Linked DNA regions of Drosophila melanogaster. The protein of the gene in region 1 binds, or shares a complex with, the protein of each later gene. Each region holds a gene or a part of one and is shown in the gene's direction. Other genes may lie near its edges. The genes, in order: MED7, MED18, MED31 and MED26.

Evidence for each region.
Region 2: MED7 (region 1) and MED18 share a complex: the UniProt entries of both Drosophila melanogaster proteins name them as parts of the mediator complex.
Region 3: MED7 (region 1) and MED31 share a complex: the UniProt entries of both Drosophila melanogaster proteins name them as parts of the mediator complex.
Region 4: MED7 (region 1) and MED26 share a complex: the UniProt entries of both Drosophila melanogaster proteins name them as parts of the mediator complex.

Annotation. Positions count from the first base shown.
Region 1 is NT_033777.3:10,759,449-10,762,999, reverse strand, and holds MED7 (mediator complex subunit 7), read left to right. Parts: upstream 1-1,967; 5' UTR 1,968-2,066; coding exon 2,067-2,396; intron 2,397-2,457; coding exon 2,458-2,790; 3' UTR 2,791-2,929; downstream 2,930-3,551. Other genes in the region: Cap-H2 (chromosome associated protein H2), read right to left, coding at 551-753, 975-1,156, 1,384-1,417. UniProt on the Drosophila melanogaster protein: Component of the Mediator complex, a coactivator involved in the regulated transcription of nearly all RNA polymerase II-dependent genes.
Region 2 is NC_004354.4:1,864,036-1,867,401, forward strand, and holds MED18 (mediator complex subunit 18), read left to right. Parts: upstream 1-1,873; 5' UTR 1,874-1,978; coding exon 1,979-2,103; intron 2,104-2,150; coding exon of another isoform or gene 2,151-2,173; coding exon 2,174-2,460; intron 2,461-2,527; coding exon 2,528-2,769; 3' UTR 2,770-2,852; downstream 2,853-3,366. Other genes in the region: Gcna (germ cell nuclear acidic peptidase), read right to left, coding at 1-72, 135-1,701; Pex5 (peroxin 5), read right to left, coding at 2,973-3,366. UniProt on the Drosophila melanogaster protein: Component of the Mediator complex, a coactivator involved in the regulated transcription of nearly all RNA polymerase II-dependent genes.
Region 3 is NT_033777.3:4,640,048-4,644,037, forward strand, and holds MED31 (mediator complex subunit 31), read left to right. Parts: upstream 1-1,915; 5' UTR 1,916-1,948; coding exon of another isoform or gene 1,949-1,961; exon of another isoform or gene 1,962-2,236; 5' UTR 2,237-2,353; coding exon 2,354-2,381; intron 2,382-2,521; coding exon 2,522-2,611; intron 2,612-2,703; coding exon 2,704-3,200; 3' UTR 3,201-3,245; downstream 3,246-3,990. Other genes in the region: CG9775 (uncharacterized protein), read right to left, coding at 1-175; nuclease slx1, read left to right, coding at 1,949-1,961, 3,497-3,990. UniProt on the Drosophila melanogaster protein: Component of the Mediator complex, a coactivator involved in the regulated transcription of nearly all RNA polymerase II-dependent genes.
Region 4 is NC_004353.4:785,784-790,854, reverse strand, and holds the start of MED26 (mediator complex subunit 26), read left to right. Parts: upstream 1-1,876; 5' UTR 1,877-1,960; intron 1,961-3,240; exon of another isoform or gene 3,241-3,403; intron 3,404-3,645; 5' UTR 3,646-3,708; coding exon 3,709-3,774; intron 3,775-3,828; coding exon 3,829-4,663; intron 4,664-5,071. UniProt on the Drosophila melanogaster protein: Component of the Mediator complex, a coactivator involved in the regulated transcription of nearly all RNA polymerase II-dependent genes.

The DNA of each region.
Region 1 (3,551 bases):
TATCGCTAAATGCAGATTAAAAGAGGATAAGATTTCTTTTTTTTAAAGGACTGATTATTATGTAACTTAAATATTATAATGAAATCATCTTATGTTTAATCAAAATACTGGTGCTATCTTTAAAATTAATTAGACTTTCAACATTTAGGTCAAATAATCTCCCCAAATTCTTTAATGCCGGCTGATAAGAAAGAATTTAAGTGAATTATAATGTAAAAATATTTATTTAGGATGTGATCTATCTCTGAATAACTTGTTATTTTTATGAATGAACTGTCTACGTTTTTAGCTTCACTTGTCTGGTTAATTTCTCATTTCTTTATATACTCTGTTTGTTATTTGTTTTTGGAAGCACGAGAACGTGCCCTATCGTCCATTAACGGCAAGCCGGCTTCTGTGATATTAATGCAAACAAAGCCGAAGGGGGCGTAAAGTGAAGCTCGATAAGCGGAATTCTGGACCGAAAAGAGCCAGCAATGGCGACAAGTGGGGAGCACGTGGCCTTGTCTTTCTCCATCTTCTTAACTCTTCAGTTCTGAGTTAAACTTACGCAGCACTTCCGCTAGGGGTCTCCTTCTGCAACTCCGATGTGAGCAGGGCTTCGATCTGGTGCTCCACCACCTGGCACAGGTACTCCACTCGGTCTCCATAGATCTTGCCGCAGTACTGGAGGGCACTTCCTGCGGCCACGATGGCCGATCTTCGAGAGACATCATTTCGTCCTAAGCAGTGGCGCAGTAGCTCTTCAATATACTGAAAATATAAGCAATGTATTTGAGGATCTGCAGGCTTTTGTGTTCACTGTAAATAAAATAATAGATTTTCTTGAAAACCCATTTATATAATTTTAGTTAAAATACCAGTTATCGAGGCATGACTGTAAAACCCACGCACGTTGCGTCACACTTTTATTTTGATCTTTCTGCTCTTCGGCGGTTTTGCTTATCTTGATAATAGTGGTCTTCAACACTCACATATCCCAGTGATATCCGTAGGTCCGTGGAGTAGTCCGTGTTTTTGGAGAGCTCTTCGAGGAGGACGACTAGCGAGGCCAGGTCCTGTTGCTCATCGTAGGCGCGGATGCACTTGGCCACTTGGGTTCCCGGCCGATTCTTGGCTATTTCCAATATCTGCTCCCGCGCTTCGCTCAAGTAGGCTGTGAATTAAATAGAAACCGATTGGATTTACTTAAGCAAAAACCACACACCCAATCGCAGATCCGCTTTATTGTTTATTTCGGCCCTCCCCATACACACACACACACACTCGCATAGAAGCACCAACACACGCGGTATACTGGAAATAGCGCTGACTTAATCAATGGGAAACGAAGATCACGCCTGGGGCTGTCCTGCGTTGGTTACCTAAGTTCTGGATGCTTACCCGCTTCCGCTTCTTCAGGCAAAATCCGCTCCATGGCTCACTAGATGACACTAGGAAAAGTTTGTTTTATGTCCGGTTTTGCACATTTTACTGGCATCGTGCACAAGCACTGCAAGCACGCACACACGCTGAGTGGGGAAATCAAAATGGTGGAGGCAGCACGGCTTGTCTCTTAGTTGGGTCCAGTTATGTTATGGTTTTACGTTTTGTTTTCATTTCTTTGGCAGGAACAGGAATATTGGCGCGAATCGGTGCTGGAACAATTAGCTATTCACATCAAGATATATATGTGTTTCTTATTTTGTTGTGCTCTACCGACGAATGAGGGAAGAGACGGAGAAAAATTGCTATGGCAATGCTGTAGGGGGTGCATGCAAGCATGGTCACCTTTAAGTTATCGATAGCTAGGCACGGTGAATCATTTATTATTTCGAGCTCGATTAATATCTAATTTAATTTTTGTAATTGTAAATTATTTGTCAGTGTCTCAAAACATATTATAATAAATTCTGCTTATTATTGCATTGTCTAGCTTCAAACCTCTAGTGTGCTCATTTTTAAGAAAACAATTTGAGTGATAGTGTCATCACTATCGTGAGTGATTCGCCTGTCTCAGGTGCCATCACTTCTTCAAAACAAAAATCATTTATTATTTTTGTATTTCCGCACTTGTTAATCTCATAATGTCCAACCAGGAGACCCAGGTTTCCAGCCTGCCGATGCCGCCGGAGCGGTACATCGCCAATTACACGGACGAGAATATCCGCCGCAACCGAGCGCCACGCCCACCGCCGCCGCCGGCGCAGCACGAAGTCTATAGCATGTTTGGCATCCAGTACAACAACGACGAGATGATCCGCAGCTTGGAGTCCCAGAATATTAAGCGACTGATCCCCATCCATTTCGATCGGCGCAAGGAGCTCAAGAAGCTTAACCACTCCCTCTTGGTCAACTTCCTAGATCTCATTGACTTTCTTATCCTGAATCCTGACAGCCCGCGGCGCACGGAAAAGGTGAGTCAATTGACCCATTAAAATGTAGCATCTATTGTATTACACTCATTTGATATCTTAGATTGACGATATCAGTCTGCTGTTCGTCAACATGCATCACCTCCTCAATGAATTTCGCCCACATCAGGCGAGGGAAACGCTGCGCGTCATGATGGAAATGCAGAAGCGGCAGCGCGTTGAGACCGCCGCCCGTTTCCAAAAGCACTTGGAACGTGTGCGCGAGATCGTTAATACCGCCTTCTCAGCTCTGCCGGTTCTAGATGATGACGACGATAGCGGCGGAGCAAAGATTAAGACGGAGGTGGATCCGTTGGAGGCGAATGCGGCGGCCAAGAATGATCCCAGTTACCAGCACGATCGCATGTTGTGCAAGCTTGTGGACGCTATCGAGTAAGCTGAGTTGGCAAAAGACTGGACATCGACGCTGGAAATAGTGTCAATCATTGTGAATGGCTTGGAAAAAAGAGCTCCTCATATTTATAACTCCTTTTAGTATAAGAAATAAAACCCCAATTGTGGGATGAGAATCTTGCACGTCTAATGAGTAATTCATTCAATGGGAATTAATGTGTTAAGTCATCTTTGAGATAAGCTTTACACAGATAAGATCCGAGATAAAGGCTCATGATTAAGCATCCCACAAATTTCACCATTAAAATGACGTAGTCAGCGTGGAGTAATAATATAGTCAAATGTCATAAATTAATAATCTATCTAGAACAATTTATTCAGGATAGGAATAACAATATAAATGTATATATTTAATTGTAAAAATTGTAAAGACATGTGACATGACATGAGACATGAACACCTCACACGTTTTCCTACTTTTAATGGGTGCTACCGCATGGCATCATCGTGGCTAGCCGAAATATGCTCGTACAGTGCGTTTCATAATGTACATATACATATGTGGTTTTAATGAATTTGTATGGAGTTTCATCAAAATTACTAATTTTGTTTGATAAACATGATTAAAAAGTCAATAGAGATATTCATTCACAACTGGAGTATAATGTTTTCCCTAAAATTTTTTTAACTCACTGTGCCCTTTACAAAATCCAACGTGTTTTTCTAAATAAACATGGTTTAATACGTTTATTAGCTTTCTTAGATTGTAAAGCCCGCGATAAGAGAGATGTAGTTAAGTGAATC
Region 2 (3,366 bases), on another chromosome or scaffold:
TTTGGACAGCGCGCATCGGAGGCAGACGAGTCGAGTTTAAAGGAGTCTGATTTGTGCGCAGAGGTTTAGTAACTGGGGATTAAAGCGCGTGTGACTCAACGGTTGGAGGATAAAAAGCATGGATAAATTCTTACATATGCTGAAGTCCCCGAGAACACTTTCATCTGGCTTGGGCTTCTTTTTTTTAGCGGTGGTTACCGCTGTTGCTTGAATATTCCTGGGCCTCAGAGGAGCCTGTTTACCGCCACTACCACTGGAGCGCTTTAGAGTGCGGATCACATCTGGTGTCTGCCAAGACTTGCCGTACAATTGATTGAGCAGCTTTTCTGCGTGGGTGAGAAACTGCTCATCCTCGGATGCATCATCCACAGACAGCATGGATTTTTGGTGGCTCTGAGGGTCCTGCTGCTGGTGCTCTTGGTGCTGCACCTCCTCCGAGCTGGGCAGGGACTTAGTGGCCCTGGGCGAAGAGTAATGCTCATCGTCGTCTTCCGCCGAACTTGACTCCATAGTGGGAATGCTGATTTTAATGTTGATCTTCGCTGAAATATTAATACTGCTGACCTGGATAGAACCGTGTTCGTCCCCTCCCGATGTGGAGGAACCAGAGCTGGCCTTTTGCGGCGTGAGCTCGCCCTCGCTGCTGGTTTCCGGTATTTCAATGGATTCATCAGGAACGGGCTCATTGTTGTGAATCGTCGAGTTATGGGTCTCAGAACTATCAGAACACAGGGTGTTGGGCTCGGTGTCATTGTCTGCTAAACGCTTGCTGCTGTATGTGGGCTCAAGCTCCTCCGATCCGAGAGTATTCGCCTCCGTTTCGTCGTCTGCCAACCGCTTGCTGCTATCCAATCGAGTGGCATCTGCTGAGCAGATGGTATTCACCTGCGTATCGTTGTTCGCCAGTTGTGTGCTGTTGTAAATCGGCCTGGTAGTGGGTGGCTGCCAGTCCTCGTCGGTGGGCGACATGGATTCGGTGTCCGCATCGGCTAGACGGGATTGCCGCTGGCTGGAAGAGAGGGGGGGCGGTGTCAATGGGCCATTCCACTCCATCTCGCGTCGCTCTATGGACACATCGCGCAGAAAAGCCTCGATGCGCTGCACTTTTTCGGTTGTGAGCATGGGCTGTGGTATGTCTTCCTGGCCGGGATTAGCCACAATTTCCCGTTCACTCACAGCCATGCTATCGGGAGGCAAGGGTTCTTGCTCATCCTCGCTAGAATCGGATATGGTGATACAGGAGGCGGCGTCGTCGTCGCCGGATACGTTCTCTTCCGTAGTGGAGGAAATGCAAATGGAGATCTCCGGCTTGGCCGAGTGCTCCTCATTTATGGGCTGCACTTTCAAATTGCTGATGCCAGCGGACAGGAGCTCTACATCGCCCACATTTGCCACATCCTGGCTGCAGCCGTCGGCGCTCAGCTGCAAGGCTTCCATGTAGTCGGAATTGTCGAGTTCTGTGTCCTCCGTATTTGCCCCGCAGGACGGAGCGGGTGCTCCCACATTGGCGCGCATGGGAGCTGCTGGCAGTTTCCTTGTTTTCTGGTCGTTCCTCTTTTCTGGATGATCCTTCGGCGCATGGGACACCTGGAGTCGTTTTTTGTGGGAGGATAGCGTCAAATTGGCGAACTTTTGATTGAAGGGAACTTTTACTTTGCTCGGGTCGACCGCATTGAAGAGCCTATACTTATGATCCGCCATTTTGGGGGCGTCGTTGGGGCATTTACGGTAAATCAATCTCTATGAATATGCTTTAAGCAAAATTCGTATTTGCTATTATTCTGTGCGCGTCGATTTACGTTCATCGTTATCGATAGACTATTTGATTTTCCGGCATCTAGCTAGTGCTGTTCGAAAATGTCTAAAACGGCATCACTAGTAAAACGAATTCTTCCAAGGAAATGAAACTAAAAACAAAACCAAACTACTGCTCAGTTAATTTAATACCATAGTACACCCAAACTTACAAAATTAGCCAATGGCGATTGTGTCGTCGGCCCGTGAGTCGCTCTCCCATGCGATGAACAACCGCTTCTTGCCCAACCTGGAGTACTTGCTGCAGGGATCTATCCTGGATTCCGCCGTGGAACACTTGATGCACAGGTGGGAGACCCAGTGTCAGATTTGAATCGTTTGCACCCGACTAACAGTCTAACCGCCTACCCACTATCAGACTAAAGGGACTCTGCGACAATGTGGACACCTCGCCGGAGCCGTTTCACGATCTGGAAGTGTGTATGAGCCTTCGCCAGCCCAATGCCAACCAGCCGCTGCTTCTTCGCGTGCGCCGAGCCCTTGGTCGCGATGCACCCTTTCAGATGCGCTACCTAGGAAACCCCGAGGTGGATCTGCGCCGGCCTACATTGGTACGCAGCTGCATGGACTGCGCCTGCACCAATGGCATTTTGGAATTCCTCACGGAAATGGGCTTCCGCCTGGAGTTCGAGTACATAGCAAAGGGTTGGAATCATGAAATATATTACGCTTGGGTTGCCAAAATGGATAGTGACAAATGGACTTATTTCAGGCTATATGTTCCGCAAGGGGCGCATGAAGATTACCGTCTCCAAGCTCATTAAGATTGTGCCCGGCAAGCAGCAGGACATGGCCAACGAGCCAATCTCACAAAGCTACATAGTGGAACTCTCTGTGGTGGCGCCAACGGGGCAGGAGAATGTCGGCGAGGAAATGCGCGTGTTTGCCGAGCAACTAAAGCCACTCGTGCAGCTCGAGAAGATCGACTACAAGCGACTGGGCGGCATGCCGTAGTTTACAATAAAAGTGCACATCGCATTTATCCAACAGTTATTTAATTTCTTAAATGTAAGAAAATATACAAATTTACAGAAAAGAACCGAGAGGGAATGATTACACTGCCAGAGTAAAAAATATCTCAAATTCAACCTTACACACCCACATGACACGACAACAACGGACTTTCCCAAAGCAGTGATAAAGAAGCTGCGGGGCGGTTAATCCTTAAAGGCCTCATTAAGAGCCGCCAGATTGCGATCGCTCACATAACTCTGGAGATCGCTGCGGCCCATCAGCGAAATGACCATCTTCAGCGTACTCCAAATAGACTCGGACATCTGGTTCTGTCCTCTAAAGGTAGCCGCCATCGCCGCATTGGGCAGCTCTCGGGCGGCGTTAGTGTGAGCCTGCATGGTAAGCGCTGTGAGTAAGTGCTCCACAGCTTCCTTGTAGGCCTTAAGGTTCATGCAACATACGCCCACGTTGTAACGCACACGGATGAAGCCCGGTTGGAGCTGCAGCGCCTGCTGATAAGCCTCCACCGCCTCCACGGAGCGCGAGCCGTTGGCCAAACTGGCCCCCAATCGGTTCCATGTCTTCGCATTTTGGGGA
Region 3 (3,990 bases), 6.1 Mb from region 1:
GCCTCTTGAATTCATTCAGCAGCCTAGAGTTGACCGCGGACATTCCTTGATTTCCGGCTCCGCTGCTCACAATGCGGCGACTCCTGCTCCTGGAGCGGCTGCGACCGCGTCCCTGTGGCGGCTGCTTTGACTGCATCTGCGTAAAGCGCTCGTTTAAGGAGATTCCAGTGTTCATGATTGTTGCGGCTTTGCTTTTATAAATTGATCCTTATAATGTATGTTTTCACTGTTCTCCGCTTGACTCTTGGACGATCGAGTGGGTGTTTCTGCGCCGAAAACCGGTTTGCAACTGTAATGGAAAGCAAAAATGTAATGAGTTTTGTAGGCAGTCAGGTACGCCAGGACGACCCCCGGACAGGTAGTGCCAGCTGACACCCATAAACGCTAAGCTCAGACAGTTCTTTAAAATATACCAATAAATCTGCAGCTGTTCCTATGTGGAAAAGCCAACCGTTGGCTTTACCCCTTATGCACCCCCGTAAATAAAGCCGTGGTCATAGTTACAACACTAAACATTTTAATATTACCTATGAATTTTCCCACTTAAGAACATTGATTCATTTCACATGTATATAGGAAGATGTTTAGGAGTAAAGATCACTTTAGTCAAGAGTCGCGACTATGAGATACCCAGCACTCAGCGAAGACATTTATTTGATACGTTTCTAATAATCCTATTTTAACTATTATGACAATTGTATGGAACTACAGTGTTATATGCCAATTTGGGCGTTGTAGATCGTGGTCAGATCGACCAGGCCATTGGTCCGGATCGAAGAAACATTTACATTATAGGGTCGGAATCACTTTTTATACCAGTTACACACTGTACACTTTTCACTCTATAATACTGTTTTAGGTAATGGTCTATTTATCTCGAATTTAGATGTACGAATTAGTGTGGCAAACCAATCGATCAATTAAAATTGCGACTGTGGCTTGCCTAAGCGGACACAAAAGAGACTTACATTCGTAATTACATTGAAATGATTCAGAAGCCTATCAAGAAACAATCTTTGGTTCTATTTGGACGGCAGCTGTGCTGTGCTGTATAGATACATATGCACATATGTACATATGTGTACATCTGTATGCATCTGTATATGTATATACATTTCGGAGTTGTATTCAAGCAGAGCACACTGTAATCTAATAATAGATTCTTCGCCAACATGAATTTTTTGTGGATGATGATTAACCCGTCGAAATCGGGGAAATAGTTGGATATACATATATAATGTTTCATATGCACTTAAATTACATAATTTTGTTAATACTTACATTTCTGAATTGTGCGTCGCTGCTTCGCTTGTTCCTCAGCACAAAAATAGGTGCGGGGGCGTTCTGTCCACAGATAGAAATTAGTTTCACTCGTTGATTTCTCGTTTATTTAGCCTAAACTACGACTTTTTCAGTGGCTTGGTTCCGATTAGATATGTTTTACAGACGAAATTCAAGTTTTTCCTCGCTGCTTTTCAGGCTGACAAAAAAATCAGGCATTGTTCTCCACAGCGTTCGTCGTAGGCTTGTGAAAATACCGAATTAAATGCGCATCACATTAGGGGTAGTGAAATAAATACTGAAGGCTACACACAATTGTTAATTACATATTATAATTAAAAATTGTCAATGTTCTGGTCGGAATTTTATATTTTAATATAAATTTTAATTGTTTTATTATGATTATTTGTAGATACCATTGATCGCTGTACTTCTTGATACATACGCTCAGATTTGTTTAAACTTACTCTGGTATTAAAGATTTTTGTTGGTTAAAACAACCCTAATTCTAATTTTTAACACAGAAACATTTTCAAGAATACCGTTAGCACACACCAAGTAAAATATACGGAAAAGCAGTATTTTACGAAAAAAAAATCGTATTCGGATGAGCTTGCAGCCCTGGCGGGGACAGAAGTAGGGTTGTCGCCGGCCATCAACAATCCAAATGAACTCCTACGGTTTGTAGACAATATTAAAAACTGAATTTAACTGCCTTCCCACAAGAAATCACCAACACAAAGGGAGCGACAACCCACCGCCTGCGCCCAGAAACCTGGTCGACTGTTTTCCCGAGTTTTCTTTTGGCCCACAACCTGCGTTTGCTCTGTGCAGTCACTGCCGCGCCATACATTTTATTTCATTAGCGAAGCCCATATATATTTATAATTTTACTTGTGTGTTTTGTTTGCCGCGACGTTTCGTTTTCAATTCGATGGTGCACCAAAACACACAGCTCAGAACATCCACATAGCACACTGAAAGAAACCAAGAACCCAACCCGACACCGAAACTGAATAGACGCAAGTACCGACCCAACGAGACCCTTTCCAAAGCCAAAGACCAGTCCAAAATGGCCAAAATGTACGGAAAGGGTAAGAGTAAGTACACGCCAATCCACACCCATTTTCGCATTGTAATCTAACACCTACTGACACCGCTTGGCATGCCGAATCCTCAGAGATCTACCAAAAGTGGTGCTAATTTCTCAGGGACTAATGCTCTCCAATTTCTTCCGTAGCTGCTATCGAGTCGGAGGAGCTGCAGAAGCGACGCTGGCAGATCGAGCTGGAGTTCGTGCAGTGCCTGTCGAACCCCAACTATCTAAACTGTAAGAATAATATTACCTCGACCTACCTAATATTCACTTATTCACCATCTTGCGCGTATATCTAAATAAACAATTACAACGCCTTGTGCCAGTCCTTGCACAGCGTGGATTTTTCAAGGACCAGTCGTTCATCAACTACCTGAAGTATCTGCAGTACTGGAAGGAGCCGGACTATGCGAAATACCTCATGTACCCAATGTGCCTCTACTTCCTCGATCTGCTGCAGTACGAACACTTCCGCCGGGAGATCGTCAACTCGCAGTGCTGCAAGTTCATAGACGACCAGGCCATTCTGCAGTGGCAGCACTACACTCGCAAGCGCATCAAACTGATCGAAAACGTTACGGCCGCCCAGCAGCAACAACAGCAGCTTCAGCAGCAACAACAGCAGGCGAACGGCATGGAGGCAGCAACGGGAGGCGAATCAGCAGCACCTACCCCCAACGTGAACGGGTCAGCTTCCACGGCGGATAGTCAACAGACGTCTTCTGCCCTACAGCCTGTCCAAGCACAGCCTGGAAATCCCCAGCAGCAGCAGCAAATCAATGGCGTGGCATCGGGGGCCAACATAAAACTAGAGTTAAACTAGCGCTGGCAACTAAAAGTTTACCAATAAAATAGTATAAGAACCTGGAACAAGTTATTTTGCATTCCATTTATTATCTTCCTTTTTGGCTGAGAAACAGCTACCACTTAACACACCTTATTTTCTTAGCTATTTTAGCCAAACTAAAATTCTAAAATAATTTTATTTCTTTTTTTATTTTAGAAAATCTTGAAAACCTCATCTCATTGCTTTAGTTAGGGTGTCGCCTCCTTTGTCGTTGGTTTTTGGTTGCAGACACAAAGCAAGTTTCATTAATCTATCTGTTGGTGAATTCACAGACCCACAGGACACAGCTTCTCAACAGGAGGAATCCGTCGCGCTGAAGGGCCACTTCTACGGCGTCTATTTGCTATGCAGTCAGAGCTTGGATCCTCGCTACCGGGGAAAATGCTACGTGGGCTTCACCGTGAACCCCAAACGGCGGATACGCCAACACAATCTTGGTTGTGATTTCGGTGGCGCGAGGAAAACCAGTCGCAAAGGGCCGTGGCTGATGGTAATGATCGTGCACGGATTCCCGAATAATACAGTGGCACTCCAGTTTGAATGGGCTTGGCAACAGCCGTCGCTTTCAACTAGGCTTAAAATGTACCCTGAATTAAAACGAAAACTGCCCAGGGAGACGTTCTTTGACTACAACTTTAGGATCCTTAGTAATATGCTGGGGGTTGGCCCTTGGAATAGATTACCGCTCACCGTTCGCTGGCTAGAAACGGATTACGAGAGGCCATTCAGCAAGGCACTGCCTAAACACATGGAAATTGTGAGTGGC
Region 4 (5,071 bases), on another chromosome or scaffold:
TAATCCAACCAGATTTGAGCTAATGCGCGTATGTTTGGCAACTCAAACACTTAGCCACACTGTTGCAGCGGCAATTAAGACTTGTAACCAAAACAAGCAATTACATCGAAATAGTTCCGAAGTTGCAGCTTCTACGGCTGCATTTGTCCAAAAAGATAATGATTACTTTGATTGCCTGAATAGCAGAGTATTAACTGACAAAAACCCCATGAAATGCGCGCTCCAAGTTAACAATGGAGTTTGGAACAAACTAAAGGAAATGCAGGAATACCTAAAGAGCGTTAAATATCACGGGAATAAAATATATTGTGTTGATGGCTTGATCCAAACTACTGAAGCTATATTTGGACTCGTCGAAGATCTCTTTAAGGATCACACAGACCACTTTTTCTTTTTAACTAGTAGAGTTAACCAGGATCCCCTTGAAAATATATTTGCGTGCGTTCGAGCAAAAGGTGGTAACTGCAGAAATCCTTCAGTTAACGAATTTAATATAATAATTGCCAAGCTCATATCTCTACACATTTTTAAATTTTCACAAAAGTCGAATTGCGAATCAGATGATGATGTTATGTTGCCAATAGAGTTCGATTCGATAATATATCAGCCTTTCGTTGAAAAAAAAGAAATACAGCAACAAGAATACTCTGTATCATTTTCCAAAATCGTGCAAGACAATGAGAGGTACTTTGACCAAAATATAGATAACTTTTTGTGCAATGATGTACCCATTGAATTAACTTCCAGTAGATATTTTGTTGGATATATTGCTAAGGGATCCAGTTGCGATAAATGCAGATCGGTAATTTTAAAAGAAACCGAGCATTTAACAGCTCCATCAGAGCTTTTTATACATGAGAAAAACTACTCAATAGAATCGGACTTCGGGAAATTAAGGGCACCATCTGATTTATTTTTTAATATTTACAAAATACACATTAAAGCTTTCGAAAATATTTTTAAAAATAATAAAAAACAAATGTGTATAAAAAAATTTATTGTTGAGCAATGCATTAAGTGCACAAATGAAAGTAGTGCCTTCCCATTATGGTTTTATGAAAATAATGAATGTTATGCACATAGAACAGATCTTTTAAACAAACTTATAAAAGTTTTGCTTTTTAAGCATTGTAAGTGGACTGTGATAGCTGATAGACAAAAAAAGCAAGCTAAGCTCAGCATTCTATCTCATGAATAAAAAAAATGAGCGTTATTTAAATAACTGACGACTGAAAAATCGAGCAATATATAATAAAAAACAATAGTTAGAAAAATAACTTAATTGGGGAATATGGAAATGTTTTAATGTTAAACATTAAAATATTTCAAGTCGACTCGAAGGTCATATACGTAAATATAAGACCCCATTACAATTGTAATGGCCTCCCCGTAGTGTTCCCTGGGTACCGACTATTACACATATTACACATAAATAATTATCAACATAAATATAAATATGTAAACGGTAGCTAATTCGAGCGGCGATTTTAACAAACGAATTTAAAAAGCTTTAAAATTAAAAAATTTTAAAATTAAAATTAAAATTTTAAAATTATAATAAGAAGGGCGCGAATTTTTAAAAATTATTTTATTTCATCATATTGCTACGAAATTGGCAAAAAACTACCCTAATATGTACAATGTAAATTCATTTCTTTGATCAGAATTGATTTCGGCCCGAAAATCGTCTTCTAGCACAACACCCACACATATACGCGTTCCCGTCTCTTGTTTTTACTCACACAAGCAAGCAAATTCTATTTTTAGATTTCTTATGTTCTCAGCGTGAGCGAGCGGAAAGAGAGCAATTTTGGCCGTCACCAAAAAAGTGGCTGCATAGTGCCAAACCAATGTATGGCCGTTACGCATCTTGTTATTCTAGTGTCTTTGGTATGGCCGTTACGCATCTTGTTATTTATATGGCTTTGAATAGACCATGTGCAGTGTGATTAATGTGGGGGTATGTATTAAAAACGACATATAATATAAGTATATTTATGTATGTGCAAAAGGAATATATCAGGATATTTCGGTAAGAGCGACAAACCAGCCAAGTGTGAATTTATGAAGTTGATGCATCTATATTTTTGCAAATCTCAAGTTTATATGCAGAAGAGTCACTGTCGTTATATTTGAATTTTGCTCACTAGCGGAGATGATTAAATTTTTTATTATTGTACTGAAATACAAAAATGTTTTTTAAACTTAATTAGCATTTTAAGTAATAATAGTTTTTCTCCGGTATTCTAACGTTACCAGTGTGAACGGATCGGACAAGCATTCTTCCTAATTTAGTACTACTAACCGTTTATATTCCAATTACACTATATATATGGACACAGTCAGTTTTGGTTTTTGTCAAACACGGAAACACAGTATAAGCATGGGGTAGCTCAGTTCTTAGACGGGAAGGTCAATAAAATCTCTTCTGCTCGAGGTTCAGAATAAGAATAATATTATAGAACATATTAAAAAAAAAGCCGCTGTGGTAAAATGTGAATATAAAAAATTAAACATATTCTTTTTCTGTTGCTTATTAAATGTAAAATATATTCTTATATACAAAAGGCTTCCAAAGGTTTTGCAATAAGAAAAAAATATATACTCGATTTTGGTGCTGAAGGATAGTACTATAGTTTACTTTTTTTCAATTGTGAGATGATCCCTTAACCCAAGTTATGGGGTTTGGTAATTGTAAGCCATTTGTTTGTTTTTTGTTTTTGAAGAACACCGAGAGCATTTGTTTTGTACAAATCCTATATATACACACTTTTTTCAAATATTTCGCATTGAAATGAAAGAGTTTAAGAATCTTTATATATCCTTAACAAAAAAAAAACGGCATTGCTAGTCCGAATAAAATAAGTTAAGGGTAAAAAAACAAACAATATTTTAATATTCTCCATATTAAGTAAAGCGGGTAACTGGACGGAGAATCTACGAAATCGTTTTATATTTTACAAAATATATAGGACAACGGGAAAATATCCAAACCACAAAGCAACAAAACCTTCATTTTCTGGTCTGGTATATTTGACCCTTTTTTCATTTTGAGATTCACGCATTTAGCCCAAAAATGGACGTTTACTTTATATAATACTCCTATAGGTTTTCATGTCACATATAATACAATTCCTCTTCAATTCTGTTTGATAGCAGTATGATCAGGCCTTCCTGTTAAAAGAAATTCACGTGAAAGTATATCGATAATAATTGTTAAATACTTATCGATTTTCTGCCACCCTTGAAGTGCAGCTGTCATTGGTAAAAATGGCGAATTGTAATAAAGTCGGGAAGTCAACCATAAATTATTAATTTTCCTTATTTTGGACAAATACAAATTTTCATATTCAAGGAAGTGCGCTCAGGAAGCACAGACTTTACATTCGAAGTGTGCATATTTGTAAGCATAACGATTGAGCAATACACGTTTTGTATTGGTATGAGTGTTTCACAGACACGCTACTAACTCGGGTATTAAAATTTTTGAACTTCTGGGTCTTTAAACTTTACTTAATAGCAATTTTACGGCTATTTATAATAGTATTTATTTTGCAACAACGTGAAGTGAATACACTATAACTTTTTACTTTCTACCTACTACTTACTTTTCTATTACTTTCCTTATTTTTCTAACTTGGACAGTATTTGCATTTCGCCGTCCCTTGAATCTGGATCAGGGCAATATTTACGCACCGCAAGATATAAATGAACCAAATCGAAATACAGGAACTTACTACTCACCTATCCCAGGCACTTGATCAAAACTACGATGTAAGAAAACGTATTACCTTATCAACAAATCAGTTAATGTAAAGATCTTTTCAGGTCGTCAATATGGACGCAGTTCTCTGTGTCATATGTGCATTGGAGGGTACAACTATCACCAAGGAGCAGTTGGAGGCCACCAGATTGGCTAAGTACATAAATCAGCTCAGAAGAAGGACTAAGAATGAACATTTGGCTCGACGTGCAAAATCCTTGCTGAAAAAGTGGCGGGAAATGGTAGGAATTCAGCAAACAGCCACTGAAAATTTGGCACATCCCAGTCAAATTTCATCTTCACAACCAGCATTAGATTTGGTTAAGTCCCCTATCACCAGCTTTATTACAGAACCAATTGCTCCTTCGCAGCAAATAGTTTCAGATTTGCATTCAAATATCGACTCTGCGGAGCCTCCGCTTTCGGGTGAACATACCCTACTTCATCCGAACTTCTCCAACCTTGTAAATAGTATAAAAGATAGCGATCGCCACGAAAACATCGCTATAACGACATTGCATACTCACAAGGATCGGCGACATTCGCATTCCATCCGAAGTTGCCACGTGGCCTCTCCTCAGCCCATCGTCATAGATCATTCGGTAAATTCCGTGATTAACTTGACCGATGACAGCACCGTGAAGATAAACGAAGCTTCAGTTGTTATTGACATAGCTTCGGATTCCGATGAGAATGACAATAACGGTTCGTTAAATCCAAAAAAATTAAACTCAATTGTTCCTGCGCCACTTCCAATACCATCTACACCAAGCTCACGGCAACGCAAATTAAAAAAGGAAAAAAGAAGTAAGGAAAGAGAAGGACAGGTCGCAACAAATACAAGATTTGGTGCAAAAGCCAGCGACGGGTTTCAACAGGCCGCTCTGACAACAGATTCGGGTATGATTCAATTGTATTTGTCTTTGTGTCTATCCTTGCAGAAGCTCAAAGAAGCTGGGTTCGGAAAAATGGAATTTTCGAAATTTGAAAGCTGGAATCGTGTGCCCACCAATTAGTTTTTTTTTGTCCACGTCCAGTCTTTGAGATCTGAATTTTCAAAAAAGTTCGATAATCAAAAAGTGTACTTTTTCAAAAATTTTATATTTTAAATTGCAATAACATCGTTTGCCAACACTTTTGAATTTTGAAAAAACGTATACTTTAGAAAATATAAGACATTCAAGTTAATCTCGGTCTATTCAGAGAATAGAGCGTTTGACCATCTCTTAAAACTAAATATTATCAATAAAAAACGTTTGCCCAACCATTATTATTAGTTTTTATCGTTTTCCCACCCTTAAGAAAACC